2 linked regions of the Neodiprion lecontei genome follow. The protein of the gene in region 1 binds, or shares a complex with, the protein of each later gene. Links are inferred from orthologs where the notes say so. Each region holds a gene or a part of one and is shown in the gene's direction. Other genes may lie near its edges. The genes, in order: sterol regulatory element-binding protein cleavage-activating protein and protein TRC8 homolog.

The links.
Region 2: sterol regulatory element-binding protein cleavage-activating protein (region 1) and protein TRC8 homolog share a complex: the UniProt entries of both Homo sapiens proteins name them as parts of the SCAP-SREBP complex. The link is inferred for Neodiprion lecontei from reciprocal best matches to the Homo sapiens genes SCAP and RNF139.

What each region holds. Positions count from the first base shown.
Region 1 is NC_060263.1:41,192,559-41,197,687, forward strand, and holds the start of sterol regulatory element-binding protein cleavage-activating protein, read left to right. Parts: upstream 1-1,939; 5' UTR 1,940-2,532; intron 2,533-2,700; exon of another isoform or gene 2,701-3,081; intron 3,082-3,933; 5' UTR 3,934-4,039; coding exon 4,040-4,155; intron 4,156-4,373; coding exon 4,374-4,607; intron 4,608-4,690; coding exon 4,691-4,871; intron 4,872-5,072; coding exon 5,073-5,129. UniProt on the Homo sapiens protein: Escort protein required for cholesterol as well as lipid homeostasis.
Region 2 is NC_060262.1:4,895,800-4,902,515, forward strand, and holds protein TRC8 homolog, read left to right. Parts: upstream 1-1,658; coding exon 1,659-1,950; intron 1,951-2,400; coding exon 2,401-2,771; intron 2,772-2,981; coding exon 2,982-4,385; 3' UTR 4,386-6,007; downstream 6,008-6,716. UniProt on the Homo sapiens protein: E3-ubiquitin ligase; acts as a negative regulator of cell proliferation through mechanisms involving G2/M arrest and cell death.

The sequences.
Region 1 (5,129 bases):
CATCGGGTCTCCCAAATATGTATAGAAAACTTGCGGTATAGATATCGGTCCTAATCGTAAGTGAAGTAATGCAAACTTGACTTTAGTCAGTCGCAACTGATTGCAAAAATTCTCGCAAAATCAAGGCCGCAATTTACTGTCCGCGTACGCAATTCTATTGATATGATTCACTCTGGACTACACGAGGATGATAATATATCTGTTAATGTGTAAAATGATAAAGTCCCCAGATTATCAGGTTGTGCAGATATATTGGGTACTCAAGAGATTCGAAATATTCGTATAAACATTGTTTTCAGTTCAGGGATAGGTCAATACTTGAAATAATCGAAAGTGTCGTGCATAAATCATAAGTAGTTATGTACGAATTGATTATTCTTATGCGAAAAAAGTCTTGAGAAATTGAAATATTTCCACCTCTACTACATTCGAATCACTGTGAAGCAAAAATTGTACCAGGTGTTCATCATTTTTTTCCAGGACAAATGTTTCAAATTTTTTTTTTGTTAAACTTCAAACACACTTCGATACTATAATTCGTAGCATACAGCAACAAACCATTCGCTTGAATAAATTCGTTTTAGACTACAAATTTCAATCGACCGAAAGTTCTTATAAAATGAATGTGTTTCGCATATAATCGTGAACACCTGGCCACAATAAAATATGAGTACGGTACCAATGTAAGGAATAAAAAGATAGAGGAGATAGATGACCATGTTTTGCTTTCTTTGTTTGTTTTTTACGCATAGATCTATTTCGCAAGGATTTCCATCTGCACTTATAAGTGCGTGCTTAACGGAAAGTTATCTTGAAACCCGCACAAAACGAGGCAAGAAGACGTCGAAATAGCATATTTAACCCTTTAATTCACGTTGGGACGCTCAGCGTCCTATCTTTTTTTGCAACTTTTTATTTACTAAACTACTTTTTGGTAACAACTATCGAGTTTTTTGTTCCGCATGGTCCCTGAAATATTTCCAAGTACAAAAAAAAATGTATAATTTATTTATTTACTTATTGCAAAGATAGCACATGTAAACAAATGGTCGAAATTCGTACTTTTCCACGAAAAAAAAACAACATTTTCTACTAATCTACCATGCAAATGAATGCAAATTTTGTACACAGACTTAATACACACTAGAAAGTTCTACAGAAATTTTTCAAAATGTTTCTTCTTGTTTCTTCTTGTCTGTCCGCCATATTGGATCCGCTATTTTGCATAGTCGAATTTTGGATTCAGATTCATAATCGACGACCCAAAAGCCCGTGTATGTAAAATTTAAAGCGAATCGCATCTAAAAAAACAAAAAGAATATACGCATGAAAGGATTAAAATACAGCAGAAGTCTAACTGTTTCTCGACTTCTCTCTGAACATCGATCAGTCATAAGTATATACCACTGGAAAAAATCAGTGTATGCACAGTAAAAAAAATTGTCACTGGGAGTCAGTGAATTTTCACTGATTCAAATATACAGTTCCATTTATTCTGAGAACCTTTAATAGTTAGGCACTATAGAACAAACTTGTATCGGCTCCATAATTTCAGTTCTACCAATATAAATATATGTAATTAATTATTTCCCTCATCTTTCTTGCGAAGAGGATAGTCTATTGCCTTTCAAACAAAATCTAACAGCAGAAGTTATACCATTCGGATTTTATAAATCTAAGCGAGCAGTCTGACCTAGCCCCTGATTGATCGCCACAATCGTACACGCCCCTGACGTACTTGGCATGATTTTTTTTCTCGATCAAATAAATCATTCCGCGGTGAATTCTTTCCTCTGTGCGTAATACCCACATAACGATGCACCGAGTACGAGCGCTTACATTGCATATCAATATAACGATCTACGAATGCATCGATGTATGAAAATTTTGCCTTGCCACCGTGCAGGCCGTTGTACGTACGTATGTAGTGTAGATTTGACCGCTGCAGGTCGCGTATCGATAACTATACAACGCGTAATTAAAATAACGTACGTCATAAGCAACGCACACACGCATTTTCTCGTAAATAGGCGGGATCTCGCGTGAAAGGCGAGAGGCGGTAACATGCGTGTGTCAATAAATCGTCGCAGTTGGTTTCGGAGCAACGGCAACTAATTCAGCAGCAAAACCGAAGCTCCGAAGGCATATTTATGCGTCGCTTCGCGCCCGCTAGCTACTCGCGTTACTTAATTTTATCATTCGGGCGTTAACGTGCAGTTGCGTTTCATGCCTCTACCGATTCTGAGGGCACCGATTCAAGGTTCTACTTTCGTATGCGTGCGTTGCGTGCGCGTGTATTCACGCCGTAACGTGCGTGCGACGAGGAGTGATTCGATTGAATATATTTGTCTCTGTCACTGGGAGACAAAATTATCCTCCGATGGTTTTCATTTCGATATTTCCGCACCTTACACGCGGTGAATATAGTTATTGACGGTGTTTGTGCGCGGACGCTGCTACTCGTCACAACGAAATCGGACTTCTCGTGCCTGATAAATGGTTTAAAAATAAATGACTGTCGGTGACTTATAGGTATGATACAGGTGCATACCCGACGTACAGTATGTATTCCGCTACGCATGTATGAGTCCCTATTACGGTATTTCGCCTCGGTGCACGAGTGAAGTTTCACATTGAATATTGGCTTCTTTCCTGTGCGGTGCACCTTGAAACTCCAAGTTTTTAAACTAACTATTCACGCGCGGTGACACACGCAGTAACATACGTAATTGGGCATCTTGTCACGAGCATCGCGTCGTCGTAGCTCGGCGTTTCGCCGAATTAAATATGACGTCTTCGATTTTTAGACATAGTGGAAAATTCATACGGATGAAGATTGAACGCGTTAGCTTTATCAAATGATTTATTAGTGTGCGTTTTGGTCGAGCAGACTTGCCGTCGACGGTTTACTGCCTACCGCACGGCAAGCATACCTGGTAACATAACACAACATAACCACACTGCGAACATAACCTCAAAGCGGACAACGACGGATATCTCTCTGTCCCACTGGCGGAGAAAAGTTTGGAGAGAATACGTGTCGCGTCGACGTTTTGTCGTCGTGGGGTATTTTTAACGCCTGTAAGTACATTTCATCCCTCCTCCCTTCACCCGGATTTTCGCTGCGTTTAACATCGATAGCCGCAAAGATAAATCCGCGCTCCCAGCGATTCGGATTCTTTCCACATGTATATACATATAAACGTTATTTCGTTTTTAATACCCGAGGCGAAACGTAATTGCGTCATATTTAGGTTTTATTCAGAACCGGAATTCCAACGGATTCCAACCGAGCCCAACTACTTTATCACTTCTAGATAATATTTGACTAACCGCAATGCAGCCCGTCGAGGATGTTCCACTTATTCAGCTAAAAGCTCCAAAAATATCTACGGATTTAAAGTGGTTTACTTATCTTGTGACAAATTGACCCGCTGTAGTTTTCTATTTTTGTCAATATCGATGCTACGCTTCACTCAGAGGCTTTGGAAAATGTTGATTTTCAATTAACGCTTCAATGTATACAATGCTCTTGCTAAAATCACTTTTATTCAAAAATTGAATTTTGTTCGAAACATAATATTCTTTAATTTAAACTCTTGTGTGTGTGTGTGCATTTTCAACCAGCGTGCCGGCTTCTAACCCTGTGCGTTCAACAATTTCTTCAGAATCTCGTAACCATGTGTGGTATTCTATCAAAATGCAATTAAAAACAAAATATAAAACGTCACTGAAGATTCTCCTTCTGAAATTTCTTGTATTTTGTTAATATAAGTTAAAGTATTTCCTAAGAAAGACATAACATCTTGAAGTACACTAATTCAATGAAAATTTATCTGATCATTCAAGGTGGGACGATTGAACTGCAGTCTTGCCTTGTTTATTTCTTCTATTTTTAAATGATCGCCAAGTCAAGTAACTTTTTTATTACAGATATTCAACAAGTCACTAAATCCAAGCCTATATGTTATCAGCGGAGAAGTGACGCTGGAAATTTGTCTCTGCCTAGGATATGTTGGCAACGTGTCCTTGATGTGAAATGTCCCGCAGCCTGCCGGACAGAGTGGCAGGGCTTTATTATGCCCACGGCCTATTCTGTTCATCGCATCCCGTTGCCGTAATTTCATTAGCAATATCTGTCGTTTTGCTATGCTGGTTAGTCATTATATTTATCATTCTGGTATATCTTATCGGTAACATAATGTCATTAACAGTTTGTTGAAAGATTAGTCCAAGCATTCGGGGCAAAAAAAACGTTTATCTGCTTGACCGTATCTGAATGTTTGGAAATACTGCATATCGAGAAACTGATATATAACAAATGTTTTTAGCAAATCAGTACTGCGATTGATATTTATGCAATTTTCTTGTAGCTATCCTCTAGTGAATCTTCCTATGCCAGGAAATGCTCCTCGAACAATAATAAACCAAACAGAGGTGTTTGTTAACGGTTCGGAAACCCCTGCGTTATACGTGCAACAAGTAACATTGAGGGTGGGAGTTGTCCCATGGACCGAAGACCTCAGCTTGACGGATGCATTCAGAGGACCGCTTTATGAAATATTTAATTTATTGGAAATCATTAGAAACTATCAGGACCCAGAAACGTAACGATGCAACTTTATCAATGGATTTTGTTCCTACAGAAAAGATTAGTTGCCCAACTTTCCATGCACATTTGTTATTTCAGACTAAAGACCCTTGGTCAGGTTTGCCTCCACGTCGAGGCTGTGAAACGAAGAAATGCCAAAAAACCAGATGTTCTACCGGAATACAACTGCCTTGTTTTGTCACCTGCAAATCTATGGCAGCAAAGTTTGGAGCTCTTCAATCAGGACACCAATCTTATCAACACTATTTACTCGTATCAGGTAACTAACTATCAAAAACTCAATCTTTTCCTTTCTCACGCATGTCATATCAGCGATTGAATCTAACTCTCCGGCAAGGTTGGGGGCTTAGAGGAACTTGTGAAAAATGTAAAAATCTCTATCGATATCCCAACAATACTGGTGCAACCAATAGCTTGAAATGATTGACGCTTGAAATATAATTCTCTAATGTTTGTGTAGAATCTGCAAAAGAGCAAGATCAGCCTTGCAGAAATAATGTTTGGCATGAGCCTGAAA
Region 2 (6,716 bases), on another chromosome or scaffold:
ACTGAACGTCAGATGTGAGTTGTGACTGAAAAACATAACCAATAAAGAACATACGGTTATGAAACGCAGGGCGAAAGTACGTGACTGAATTACCGACGGAATGAACGTGACTCCGAACTGTCACTAACCAAAAATAAGTACCTCGGAAAAACTAAATAACCGAATTGCCGGATGATTTTCCGTTCTCACATTGAATAATTTATCAGTAGCAGAGTGATTTGAAGTGAAAATATTCATTAAGATGAATCATAATTTTCCGGGTGCAAATATTTTCCTAAATGTGAGTTTTATTTTCTTCCGGCAAATTGCAACGAGTGACGTTTCAGTCGGTCAAAAAGAAGTACGTACGGCAAAGTGACAGCTATTTATGGCGGCTGTGTTTACTCTCTATATGCTACAAACACCGCGGTATACATCAGCTGCACAGACAGCTGCTGCAAGATAAAATCGACGGGTTTGACAGGCTGGCTAGTTGGAGTGAAAAAAATTGATTCGCCACACTAAACCGCCATCCCGTGATCGATCGCGGACCCACAGGTCCTCACGAATATTTCGTGCATTTAGTGGAAATTATTTAACCTCTTAACGGCGGGGCTAGTCGATATATCATCCAGCAGTCAGGTTGGGAACTTCAAATCATTGAAATCATTGAAATCATACATAAATATCACGTTCTAACACAAAGTCGATTTTAACTGAAATTTTGCCCGTCCGTAAAAGGTTGATACATGTTCATCTGTCTGCGATATGAGAATGAGTAAACGGATCGTGACGGCGAAATCTTCCGCGAAGATAACATACACGCACATATCGCAGTTCGAGACTGTATACGAATAACTATTCGAAAAATCTGGCGCAAACTCGGCGTGTAAATAGAATTTTAACGGGCGATGCGAGGTGGGTGTAAAAAAAAATAAAAAATGCGTCATATGAGAAATAAATAAGGAAATCGATGTATATTATGTAAAGTACTTATCAACTAAAACTCTTTCTCCGTTTCCCTTTTGTTTTCGTTCTCTCGTTCGTCAATAACCGTTATTTATACTAACGCGATAAGATAACGAAAATAAAAAAACATCTATTGTACGGTTGAAAGTTTTTCACCGCAGGCAGCAAGCTCCATCTGTTGCTGCATAGCATGTAGTTTAAAAAGTCAAGACCTGCTGGTTGGTTGGTGATGCGCAGCTGGTGTTGCTGGCTGGCAGGCAGGCTGAGAACTGCAGCGTGTTTTGTAACCTCGATTAATAATCTGGAATTTTGTGTACATAAATACATGAATAAATAAATTAGCAGGCGACCTTTGACTGATCAAATTAATAAATAATCAAAATCGTTGTGAAATAAATCGAAGGGAAAGTGCTCAGCGTAACCGTGCCAATTATGACAACAGGGTTCATTAATTTAACAAAATTTGAGGAAAATATAATTCTCGATTAAACCGAAGTATCGTCGTGGGGAAAACTGTAGAAATTTTATTATCATACGGAAGAAAGTGAAACTAGATAGAATAAAAGAAAAAAAAAGACAAGAAAATTCGCTAATCTGGGAGAGACTGGAAGTATGGAGAGTTGATAATAAAAAAAAAAAGTAGCCTTACCCAAGGAAAGAGAAAGTGCAAAATAGTCGACCTTTCTGACGTCCTTAAAGATTTGGAAAATATGTTGACCACCATTAGAAATAAGGCGCTTAATTTCGCCGATGTCGTTATGAGGGTTCCGCCGCTTTTCATTATCGACGAACTGCTCAGGATCGGCCTTGGCTTGCCCGGCGAAAACATAGTCCTTGAAGACGTCAACAATGAATTCAAAGTCGTCAGCGTTCCTGATTCCATTGTTGGTTCGCTGGTTGGCATTACACCCGAGGTCGGTTTGCTCCACCAGCTAAACTTGAGTCAGCACATCTACCAGTCGTACTTACTCACGCTCTTTAAATTCATCTTGTGCTGTTTAGGTAAGGAGCCAAAGTAAAAAAACCTCATTATCGGTTACCCTTTTACAAACCTGCTATCAGTTATTTCCGTTCTATGCACAACCAACGATTAAAACTTGGCTCACTGCTGTAGTTTTTAAAAGCGGTAACTGAAACAGGTCAATGAATAAATTATGTGGGGCACTTGACTTTGCAAGTCACTTAGAAGGTATTTACTCGCTTAGAAAATTTATGAAGGAGAAGGTCAAATTAAAGGAAGTATTTTTATCAAAATGAGGCATAAAAGAAATGCAAACAGTAGCTATGCAAGTATCAATAACCGTTTCAGTTTTGTTGTACATCACGTTAAATCACTGGATGATTTCAACTACCTTATGTATAGTTATAGAGAGATTCGTGGAAAGATCGCTTCGCTGCTTCGTCGCTTTTTGTTTCTCCTTTCCGGCAACGTTCTATTTCTCTCTATTCCAGCATGCGAGGCAGCACTTTGCGGCATTATGCTGCAAAAGAAACACCTCGTCGTCGTTTACCTCTACCTGATATCGGTCGGTGTGATATTCGTGTCATATTGGTCGAACGTCAGCACCATGAAGGCGGTCATCTGGTACGCCACCGCAAATGAGACAGCGACGAGTATCCTGGACGATGTGCTGTGTCTGGATATACCCAAGGTGCTGAATCCTGACGGACCGGGAGTCGTTGTCATCCGGAACTACATCCTCCAGTGCACTCTCGCCCTTATCTTCTGCTACGTTCACCTTGCTCCGAGATTTTCCATTATACAGAAGTCTCTCGTCTTCAGTTTCATGGCTCCTTCCATATTCGCAGTTCTTCCGATACCCGTGAGTTACGATTGAGAAATTGAAATATGGTGTGTTTCGAATAACGGTTGACATTTGGACTAGCATGGTCACCTCGATTTATATTCACTTTCTTCGCCCAATAAGTTTAGCATCAGCCTTGAAACCATTCCTGAAAATTTATCAACAAAACGAAGATGATCGGTTTGGCATTTCTTTTACCATCTAACAGTTAGAAATTTCGTTTCACAGATTACAGTTCTGAACCATGCTCCAGTCTTCGCAACCCTGCTTCCGCTCGCAGTGTCAAAGTTCGTAATTTGGTACAACTCGGTGGCGATGGGCCGCATCATATACTCAGGTTACCAGCACGCTCGAACGTTTATCAGCAGCTACGGTCTCTCGGCGTTGGTGGAGGCGGAATGGAGTCGGCTGAACGTGCCCTGCGTTCTGCGGATTTTTTGGATGCTTAGAGTGGGCGAGCAAGTTATACAAATAATGGGAAACCACTACGGGGAAGATACGTTCACGTATTACGTGATGGTCAGGACTCTGTTGATAAACGGCTGCGAGACGCTTACAGCTGTTCTAGGAATGACGAGCGTGATATCGTTCATCTGCCACTACATCGGTTGCTTCTTCCAATGGATATTACTTAACGATGACGAGGAGGACAGCAAGAGCATCGGAACGGTATCGGCGATTCTTTTCTACATCCTGGCTCTCCAAACAGGATTGACCAGTCTGGACAGAGAAATGCGGTTGGTAAGATTGTGCCGAAACTTTTGCCTCCTGTTCACAGCGCTTCTCCACTTTGTTCACAATATAGTCAATCCTCTACTGATGTCGCTGAGCGCGTCGCACAATCCCGCTCTTCACAGGCACTTCCGAGCACTGTTGGTCTGCGCCTTTCTGATTATGTTTCCGGTTTATCTCCTCGTATTGCTGTGGTCGCAATACTCGGTCAGCACTTGGCTGCTCGCTGTCTCGGCTTTTAGCATAGAGGTTATAGTAAAAGTCCTCGTATCGCTGGCGATATACTCGCTGTTCCTTTACGACGCGTGCCGTCACACGTTCTGGGAACAATTGGACGACTACGTTTACTACATACGCGCCTTCGGTAACACCGTGGAATTTGCATTCGGGATCTTTCTGTTCTTCAACGGCCTATGGATCCTCGTGTACGAGTCGGGCGGACTAATAAGAGCAGTCATGATGTGTGTGCACGCCTACTTCAACATATGGTGCGAAGCAAAGGCCGGATGGAGCGTATTCATGAAGAGGAGAACGGCCGTGAACAAGATAAACTCGCTGCCAGAGGCGAGGACCGAGCAGCTTATGCAGCTCGACGACGTTTGCGCTATTTGCTACCAGGAAATGTCAAGCGCTAAAATAACCAGGTGCAATCACTACTTCCACGGCGTTTGTCTAAGAAAGTGGTTGTACGTTCAGGATCGCTGTCCGCTGTGCCATGATATTTTGTACAAAGTTGACAGTCCGCAAGACAGCAAAGACAATGTCTCTGCTCTCACTGATCAGGAGAGGCGAAACGAAGATGAAATCGATGAGTTGTACCAGAACCAGGGACTGCAGAGGAACGGATTGCGAAGTCCGAACTATAGACGATACGTTGAACAGCTTAACGAAGACAGGTGAAGCTTAACGTCTAGCTATATTGTGATATAATTATTATAAAAAATAAATTATATTGTTATTTCATGTTATACAATGGAGTTTGATATTGTCACACTGTGCGAGGGTATCGTTTCAAGTCCAAGTGTAATTTGACCAAGGCTACTGTTCTTTTCTTCCTTCTTTCTTATTGTTTCTTTTACTATATTTAATTTTTTGTCTTTTTTCTTCCCCTCTGTTCCGTTCCTCAGAATCAACAATCGATGTGCAAGTTTATTATTATTATTATTATTATTGTTGTTGTTATTGTTATTAATATTATTACTATTATTAGACACGTTTCGTATCACACTTTATCATACTTCCGGGTTTAGATAGATGGATAATTCGCCATGTCCATACATTTTAAACTCTTGTATGTCATACAATCCTACCAAATCGAAGAAGAAAAAAAATACGAAAAATACCGTTAAAAATAGAAAACTAGCGACGAAAGAAAGGAAAACAAGAAACGAAGAAAATGAAACAATTTATTATTTATGTAACTATAAGGTAGGTAAATAGAGATAATAACGACGATAGAAATTATAGGAACTAACTTCCACATATTTTATATCATGTATATTATGTATATTATCATCATCATCATTATTATTATTATTATATACTCATATAAAAAAAATAATAATAATGATAATAATTTAGAAATCTATCCAATACTTTATTATAAATGTAAGCCGCTATACATGTACGTCAATTATTAATTTGGATTAATTATTCTGTGATCGTATAGTATCGCCTTAATTATATTATGTATAACATGAGCTTACATTTCTATACAATTGCTACTTACATGTGTCTCTCTCTCTCTCAATCCGTAATTTCTCTCGCGGTACTTCCTAAATTCCGAAAATGGAATTTTTCTGTAAAAAAAGAAAAGTTTCAACATTTTTTTTCTTTCTACACTTTTCTTATATTGTAGTAAATATTCTTGTAGGAACAATCCTTACCTCGCTTTACTTTAAAACGCGATTTGCGTCTTTATTTCATTCTTTTTTACACTAAATAAAGACGATAATTAGTTTTCTTCCTTTTTACTCATACCAAATCTTCGTCGGTAGCCCATATAATATACGTATAAATGATTATTCCTTGATCGATTAACGGGAATAAACCACGATGTTGTTGGAAAAAAATAATAATTTACTTTACATGTTACGTTCTACCTACTTGTCATCGATGAATTAATTTACGTATCTAATACAGAATGACCGATGAGGTAAGGAAAGAAAATGCATTGAGTAACGATAAAACGACCAAAAAGAAGAGAGAACGAGAAATGTGAAACGAGTCAAACAACACAGTGTGAAATGTTAAAGACAAAAAAAAATTAAAACCAATCGAAAAGAAATTCGTACCGCAATACGATACGTATTATTACGTGTGTTTTAATCTCCGTATAAACACACGTTTCACCTGTATTTGTGTATTCATTTAAATACAACAAGTGCAGCAAATATAGGCATAATGTATAATGTGTAAAGTTTAATTTTTGATGGGTATTCGTATGTGTATATATATGCTAAGCACAAAAAAAAAAAAAAACACCAAAAAAACAAAAATACGACTAATATTAACCGGTGGTTGTAAATAACCAATAGGTACGTATAGACCTTTGATTTGTTTCTTTTCTGTTTTGTGAATTTATATGTTTCATTTTCATATTATCCGAGTCCCTGATTCGTTCATACCCGAAACAATTATTAACGTATATGCGTTTCATTTCGCGCAAGTACCATTGTATACTAAACATAAATACAAACTATAGGTAGTAGTACGTTTATATTCCTGTATACCCATCACGCATACACATAAATATGCTCTATATCGCACCTTTCAGTAATAAAAATAATAATAATAATAATATCATATTTTGATAGATATAATTAAGCGAGAAATATAATATCTTATATGTATAATAAACAATATATTTTATAAATGAACGTCAATGAATCGTAAACCCTCTTTTATATTTATAAAAATATTTCATTTCTCCAGAATTATGCAAAAGCAAAAAAAAAAAAAAAAAGAAACCAACTACCGCGTAATTGACGATATTTAAACAACGTGTAATTCGCATTATCTTCAAACTGTGAAAGTACTCTCTGTATCGCAAAATAATTCATCAAAGGTTTCACAAAATTCGTGACTCCGTGAATATAAAAGTATAAAATAGTCAATCGATGTGAAATTTTTATGCACGGATATCAGACGTGTACAGGAAACATGTATTTAAAAAAATATCTCGAATGCGACCATTTTGTTGTACTTATCTGCGTATTAACATTTGTGCAA